Linked DNA regions of Canis lupus familiaris. The protein of the gene in region 2 interacts with the protein of the main gene of each other region in a pairwise test. Links are inferred from orthologs where the notes say so. Each region holds a gene or a part of one and is shown on either strand. Other genes may lie near its edges. The genes, in order: PRR14 and CBX5.

What was found.
Region 1: the proteins of CBX5 (region 2) and PRR14 interact in binary tests that used the Homo sapiens proteins (3 or more experiments, as listed by UniProt). The two-hybrid records come from large-scale screens. The link is inferred for Canis lupus familiaris from reciprocal best matches to the Homo sapiens genes CBX5 and PRR14.

Annotation. Positions count from the first base shown.
Region 1 is NC_049227.1:17,677,439-17,681,344, forward strand, and holds the start of PRR14 (proline-rich protein 14), read right to left. Parts: upstream 2,831-3,906; 5' UTR 2,658-2,830; intron 2,123-2,657; 5' UTR 1,937-2,122; intron 1,140-1,936; 5' UTR 1,091-1,139; coding exon 1,068-1,090; intron 944-1,067; coding exon 775-943; intron 161-774; coding exon 39-160; intron 1-38. UniProt on the Homo sapiens protein: Functions in tethering peripheral heterochromatin to the nuclear lamina during interphase, possibly through the interaction with heterochromatin protein CBX5/HP1 alpha. Might play a role in reattaching heterochromatin to the nuclear lamina at mitotic exit.
Region 2 is NC_049248.1:45,636,231-45,640,136, forward strand, and holds the start of CBX5 (chromobox protein homolog 5), read right to left. Parts: upstream 2,514-3,906; 5' UTR 2,354-2,513; intron 1-2,353. Other genes in the region: HNRNPA1 (heterogeneous nuclear ribonucleoprotein A1), read left to right, coding at 3,169-3,183, 3,735-3,851. UniProt on the Homo sapiens protein: Component of heterochromatin that recognizes and binds histone H3 tails methylated at 'Lys-9' (H3K9me), leading to epigenetic repression. In contrast, it is excluded from chromatin when 'Tyr-41' of histone H3 is phosphorylated (H3Y41ph).

The DNA.
Region 1 (3,906 bases), on a different chromosome or scaffold from region 2:
TTATGCCCCTAGTTTACCCTTCAACCTGCCATACTCACCTGGTCTGTGAGGACCATGTGGCCTGTTGGGGTGGTGAAGCAGGTGGCTGGCTTTGGATAGAATCCCGCTGGTTGCTGCGGTGCCGTAGGGTGGTAGTCTCTTCTTGGGGCACCAGGGGAACCTAATTGAGAAGGAAGTGTCAAGAGCAAGGTGATGAAATGAGATGGGACAGGACAGGACCTCACTGAACCTAACAGTGCCGTATGCCACAAAAGTGATAGAGATTGTGGCTAGAATTCACTTAAGAACCCAAAGAAATGAGTTGAACGGAATCAGTTCCAGGGCCAGATATTATAGTGTCCTGAGCTGCAGTAATCTCACCCAGGCTGTTTGGAGAAATGAAAAGGAGTGACCTTAGGTGAGTCACTGCCCTATTTTGGGCCTGTTTTCCTAACCTGTGCAATGGAGCTAAAGACCTCAGCCTGCTTCCCAAGAATAGCTTGGAAGTTGGGCTGGGGAAGAAAGCAAGGGTTTCTCATACTTAGAGAGTTGTAGCCATGTGGTTCTATGCCCAACACGGTTGATGGCGGGGAATGGGCACTAGAGACCCTGTCCAAATATAGGTAGATTCAGCAAGAGCCAAATAGAACTCTAGCATTAGGGAGGCTGCCTGAGCAATGGGTGTGAGAATGAGGTATCTGGATCTCAACTATCCTCATTAGTGATCTGGTCTGACTTTGATACTGAAGAGGGGACCAGAGGGAGGAAGGAGGCCTCTCAGTTCAAGGGGCTCACCATGTGGGCAGTCATAACATCTTCCAGCACCACAGCCAGGACCCTCCGAGAGGCCTTTTCCAAAGGTGAAGGGGCCGCCAGAGACTGCAGTCTCGGCCGTTTGGGGCTCCTGGCTCCCCATAGTACTCGAGCCAGGGGCTGGCGGCACAGACGTGGCCGGCCAGGTGGGCTGGAGGATGAGAGAAGCAGAGGACGGTCGCCTGAGACTGTCGTTGGCTCTGTGGTTTCCCCGGTACGGCCGCCAGGCTCCCCGTTTCCCGTGCTCAAGACAGGCGGGCGGGGTGCGCTCTCACCTCGAGTCCCCGGGCAAGTCCATGGGGAAAGCGGCGGCTCCGGGGAGTCCCTGGGGGATCCCAGGCTGCAGCCTGGGATGGGGAGGGGGAGCGGGGGAGCGGGGAGTGAGGGCCAGTCCCTCCCCAGGGGCTCCGCCCTTCAATGGTCAGCCCGCCGCTCCGGGTAGCCCATGGGCCAGAGCCCTAGGGAGTGAAAGGGCGCCCCCGGCTGGCCGCCTGGAGCGGGTGTCTTCCCGCTGCCGTCGCCCGAGATTAGTGGATCACCCGCGCACCCGGACTGGCACTTGCCAGGAGAACCTGGCTTGCAGTGGCCCCGGTTCTCCCACGGCCCGAGCTTCTGGGGCCTTTGTCCCCGCAGAATCCGCCCTGAGATCCCCCAGGATCAGCTGGGATCCCGGTCCTGAGAGGCTCACTTTCCGCCGGGTCCCTCTGCAATCCTCATCCACGGCCAGCGAGTGGCCAAGAACTCCGAAGCAATACTCCCACACACTGACGGTGCCCCCCGCCCCACGGATCCCTTAGACTGGATCCCTGCGGAAAGAATCCTACAGCCCGGTTGCTCCAATCAGACGCCGCGAGGATCTTCCTCTCCCTGTGAGTTTGGGCTCCGCAAAGCTCCACTCAGACAGGGGCAGCCCGAGCCTGAGCATCACGAACTCGGTCCGGATCCCCAGGGATCCACTGTCAAGCAGATACCCCCTTCACTCCAATCCGGGGAGGTCCCGCCCACAGACCCTCTCCTTCCCCCCTCCCCGGCTCCCCACCCAGCGCTCTCCCCAGCCCAGGACCAGATGGTTCAAATGTTTCCTTCCCTCCCTCCTCCCGCCCTCTCTCCAGCCGCTCGGTGCCCTCCTCCGCGCGCCGCTCACCGCCGCCTCCCGCGGATCCCGGGTCTTCGACGGCTCCCACCTCCGGCTCCTTTAAAACCAGCCTTAGCCAGCACTGCCCAACCGCCGAGGGCCTTCTTCTCGCAGCCCTCGGGCACCGCCCAATCGCCGGTCCCCGTCTTCCGGAGTGGTGAGAAACTAAGTGAAGCCACCTGGCAGCCATCTTCCCTAGGGGCAAGAAGCCAAATTGGGCAGCGCTGCCATTATAGCTGAGGGCAGGTAGCTCTGTCCTCGATGAACCGAAGTGGACCGGATGGTGTCATTTTCTGAAGGCCAGTCAGTGGCCGAAGACTAGACCAAGTTTCTTGAGCTACTGAGGCAGCTGTAGTGAATAGAGTGCCGCCACGTTTTTTAAGGGCATCTTCCGGTTCTTTGGTTCTTAGGTTAATAAACGTGAGCTGAATACTAACGACATGTGAAATTCCCAATTTCCTAGAGAGGCCTCACTGAGAGCGATTCTGCTACCCTCCGGGAATCCTCGAGTCCCCCCAAGGCGCTGAGATGTGGGGGGAGGGACTAAGAACCTGAGACTAGGGATAGTGCCGCCTCCGGCTCCAGGGTTTGAGCGATGTACCGAAGAGACTGAGCGGAGCCGAAATTGGGAAGAGGCTGGGGACATTGACCTTCCCGGAGGTGTGGGGGTTTGTGCGGCCCGCGCCGAGGGCTCAGTATAGGGGCGACATCGCAGGGGATCAATAACCACCTTGGCGTGCTCGGTGGTGTCCAGCGCCTTCCTCTCTGTTCCAGGTTCCCACGAAGCCAGTGTCAAGGGAAATAGTCCTTAGTAACAGTACTACTACTACTACTAGTCCTTAGTAGTAAGGGATCGGGGATGGAATCGAGCTGCTTGAGAGGCTGTATCATGCAACCTTTACCTGGAGCCAGACTACTGGTGGCGAGGAAGTGGGGATGTAGTAGCTTCTTGCACGGTGAAGGCACCTTCACCGCCGAACCAGAGGCTGTGCTTCCACTAATACCCAGAATTCTCCTATCCCAGAATTCCCTGTACTTACTTTCTTGGTGGAACAGGAAAGCCTGAAGCCTAGAATCCTGGGTCTGTGGGATGAGGGTGCCGAGTACCCAGCCAGTATAATTCTCTCTTCTGGGACTTAGTGATAAAAATGACACAGAGAGGATGATATAGAAAGAGCAGAATCAGGGGTGGCTCACCCAGAATCCCTGGGTGGCTCAGTGGTTTGGCGCCTGCATTCGGCCTATGGCGTTATTCTGGGGTTCGCGGATGGAGTCCCGCATCCGACTTCCTGCATGGAGCTTGCATCTCCCTCTGCTGTGTCTCTGCCTCTCTGTGTGTGTCTCTCTTTCTTTAAAAAAAGAAAGAAAAAGAATCAGCAAGGTGGTGTGGAAAATGAAGACTCCCCAACTCTGAAGCAAGGATTCATCCAGATAGCTCTCTCAGGATTACAGCCAACTCTCTTCCTAAGGCCTGCTGGGTCCTCTGGAAATCCATGATAAGACTTCTGATGAGAGTAGGTGGCAGCTCTTCCAGCTAGAAGTGTCCTCTCTCCCTTGGATTCCTGCTGGCTTTATGGGGCTTGAAGATGTTCCTTAGGGGTACAGAGATGCATCCAGCTGTGAGTGCTTGGAGAACCTTCTCAATCTTGATAAGCTGAGAGCCCCTCTGTAGGCTCTCACTTCCCTGTTGTTGGTTTTTTTTTTTTTTTTAAGATTTTATTCATTTATTCATGACAGACACACACACACAGAGAGGCAGAGACAGGCAGAGGGAGAAGCCGGCTCCATGCAGGGAGCCCGATGTGGGACTCGATTCCAGGTCTACAGGATCACACCCTGGGCTGAAGGCAGCACTAAACTGCTGGACCACCAGGGCTGCCCTCACTTTCCTGTTTGAACAGGTGCCTCTCAAGCCTCACAGGGCAAGAAAAGCTCCCAAGAGCAGAACATGCCTAATCAGAGTTTTGATTCCCTGGGTC
Region 2 (3,906 bases):
ACTCCCAACGTGGAGCTTGAAGTCACCACCCTGAGACCAAGAGTCACATTCCTCAGACCCAGCCTGCCAGGCACCCCTAAATCAACAGTTTTCAACCGAGGAAGATTTTGCACCACCACCGCCACCATCACTACCACTGACATCCCCAGGACATCTGGCAATGTGTGGTGACATTTTGATAGTCACAAATGGGTGTGAGGGAGGAGGTGAAATGCATTTATTAGCTTAAAATGTCAATAGTGCTGTAAGAAATCCCGTAAGTCAAGACTATTTCTTTTGAACCTAAATAAATTAGGGAGAACTGTAATTTAGATCCCTTTAGTTCTTATAAACTCAGCAGAAGCAGCTGATTAGCACACCTACAGTTTATAAGGAAATACGAAATCAAGTTGTCCTCTTGCAAGTGTCAGAAAACACAAATCTCTCCAGTCTTCATTATATGGACAACTAAAATTAACTTTCCTTTGTATAATGTCACAAAGGTCTATAATCAGAAGTGTCCTTCATACACAGTTAAACGTATTACAGCATCTAAACATCTTTCTAATAACCTTATGCCATTGATCAAGAGGGCAATTTAGATTCTGATATAACCATTATGTAACGAAAACGTCTTTATTTTTACTAAAACATCTTCAAATCAGCTGAATGGGTGTTACCAACAGGTGATTACAGTGCCTGTAAAATAAACACTTTGAAGAAAATACAATGAAGGCAATGGAATAATCCAGGTGATGGAGGAGTCCTCCTACCCCTAACACCCTAAATATCATCCATGTTAAGCAATTTGTCAAAATTCAGACATCCTTAGAGGAATAGCAGAAAGAGTCTCGGAAACTTTTTAATGGATGGGACGCCTGGGTGGCTCAGTGGTGGAGCGTCTGCCTTGGGCTCAGGGCGGGACCCCGGGGTCCTGGGATCCAGTCCCGCATCCGGATCCCTGTGGGAGGTCTGCTTCTCCCTCTGCCTGTGTCTCTGCCTCTGTGTGTTTCAAGAATAAATAAAATCTTTAAAAAAGAAAAAAAAAAAAAAAGGAAAGAAACCTTTTAATGGTGTAAAGAAAGATACAAAAGTTCACAGAAGAGACTGAGGTAAAAAAAAAAAAAAAAAAGACTGAGGTAAAGGCGTGGAAACACAGATGATGCGTGTAAAGGGTTTACTTACTTAGCACAGCGTCTCCCTGGCAGGTACTAAGTACACAAAAGAAAGTCAAGTTTTTAAAATTGTGTTTTTATTCTGAGCATCACCGTGTTAGTTCCGCCGGCGCGCGGGGGGGCGGGGGGGGGGGGGGGAGGACAGCACTCTCTCGTGGTGTAGGGATGACACAGGGGGAGGGGAGGAGCAGGGGATCGTGCCTGGAAACACGAGGGCTGCCTTTCCCATCTTCACCGAGTCACAAACTGCGATCCCTGAAAGGACTTGAGCGGGAGGGACGCCACCTGCCCGGATCCCACCCGGGCCCTGGACACGGACGCACGGCGGGAGGCGGCCCTTCCCACACTTCTCCTGCGGGCTCACGAGCATCCGCCACCGGTCCGGGGAAGGCCGCGGCGTTCCGCGCACACGTGGGTCGGCGCCTGTCCGCGACGGCAGCGGCTCTTGTTCCGATGCGCGCGGACGCTGCCGGCCAAGCGGGTTCCCGACGACCGGCCGAGCTCCCCTGGGAGCCTCCACGCGCGGGGCGACCAGAAGCCCCGGGGTGCGTGTGCGCGTGCGCGTGCGCGAGCGCGTGGAGCGGTTATGCCGAAGCCGAAGCGACACGCCACAGAGTCAGGGTCTCCCTACCGGAAACGCGTGTGGGGTGAAGGCCCGAGCGCCGGGCGCCGGCGGCCACTGTGGAGAGAACGCGCGCCCCCGCGCCCCCGCGCCCTCCCGCCCGCTCCTCCACAGCCCGCAGCGAGGCCTCCCGCTTCCGCACCGCTGACTGGGCGACCCGCCCGGGCGCCGTCCGCAGGCCGCCCGCCGCCGGCTCCACAGCGGGGCCTCCCCCTCGGAGTCCGCCCGCCGCCTCCGAGGAGCCCAACCTACGGCGCGCTCGGCGCCCATTGGCTCGGCGGGACGCTGCTCAGGGCGCAGGGCCCGCCCCCACGTCCCGAGGGCCCGAGGGCCCGTCCGTCGGCGGCAAAGGCGGACCCGATTGGCCCGCGCGCAAGCCAGTCAGACTCCGGGCCGCGGAGCCCCACGGCACTCCCGGCCGGCAGACATCCCGCCCCCGCCGTCCATTGGTTGGCTGAACCCAGCGCTCCCCCTTTACGAGCCCCCACCCCGCGCTCCATTCATTTCACACAATAACGGGCCCAATTGGAGTCAGTTCAACACCTCGTATGAGTAGGCGAGACGATCCGCCGCTTACCCGGAATCGAGACCGGCCACTCGCGCCAACGCCTCCCCTGTTCCTCTGTGGCGAGGCCGGACCACGGGACGCCGCCGCCGCCGCCTTCTGCGCAACGCCAACCGCCCGCCAAAACGGATCCTTCCCTGCGCCTGCGCGGCCAATCCTGCGACCGGACCCTTTCTCCGCCCATTACGCCTGCGCAGAGCGGGGCGCGACTCCCGCCACGACGCAGGCGCCGTAGAGTCGCCGCCGTCTCCCGCCCGCCATTTCACGTGCTCCAAGCGCCGAGCGGAACTGGTTAGTGCGCCTGCGTAAACTCGCCATTTTACTACACATGCGCCCGGCGGGCGGTCGTTTGCAAAAAAAAAAAAAAAGAAAAAAAAATCACCTGATAACCTCGTTCGTAATATATTAGCATTTACCGTGCTTCGCCAACTGAGCGGAACATAATTTCGGGGCGGAATGGATTGAAAATTCATTTAAATACCTTAGGTTCGTTCAAATATGAATGACTGGTTGACGAGCCAATCACAGTAATTAGGAATAATATTACCCGGGAACCAATAGACCTGAAGGGGCGGAGCCTGCGTAGAACGCCCAAGCGGATGACGTTGCGCAGCAGTGCGGGGCTATAGACCAATAGCAGGGGGAGGCTATCGCAAACATCCAATCAGAGACGCTCAGGGGCGGAGTCTACCAATGCCTAAAGCGAGGAGGCGGGATAAAAAAGCGAGGCCGAAGGTAGGCTGGCAGATACGTTCGTTAGATTACTCCTTTCTGCCCCTGGACGCCGCCGAGTAAGCATCGTTAAAGTCTCCCCTCCCACCGCCGTCATGTCTAAGTCAGAGGTGAGTAACACGCTGTCTCCCGCCTAGTTTCCTTCCTCACTCCTTCCCTGGGGCCGGTAGGACGCGGCCTGGCGTGGCCGCTCGCGCCAGCCCGTTCGGCAGCCCTTCGGGGGCCGCCAGGGCCTTCCCCTCCCGAAGTTGAGGTCGCCATTTTGTCCTCGTCGTCGCCATGAGGCCGCCGTCCTGCAGCGCTTGGCTGTGGCGCCGGGCTGCGCCCTCCCGGCAGAACTCGCGGGCGCATTCGACGGGTTTTGTTTGATCGTGTCTCCGGGAGCGAGTTTCTTGCGGAGCAGCCGTAGTTCCCCGCCGCTTCGGCGTCCGTCCAGCCGAGTCCTTTTGTTGCGCGTGCGTCGGAGGGAGAGTCGGGGCGCATGCGCCCGCGGCCTCCCAGCCCCCACCGCTCGGTCCCCCCCGAGGGGAGAAGCACGTGGCCTCCCGTAACCCGAGGGAACAATACGTGCCTTGTAACGCTGCTGTCTAGGATTTTCCTCCCAACGGGACGGGGCTGGGCGTTGGGCGCGCCACGTAACGAGCTGTGTCCCCGCTCCTAGTCTCCCAAAGAGCCCGAGCAGCTGCGGAAACTCTTCATCGGAGGTTTGAGCTTCGAAACGACCGATGAGAGTCTGAGGAGCCATTTTGAGCAATGGGGGACGCTTACGGACTGTGTGGTAAGACGTGCCGGAGACGGAGGGCCCGGGAGCGAGGTGGCTTCCGCCGCTCCGA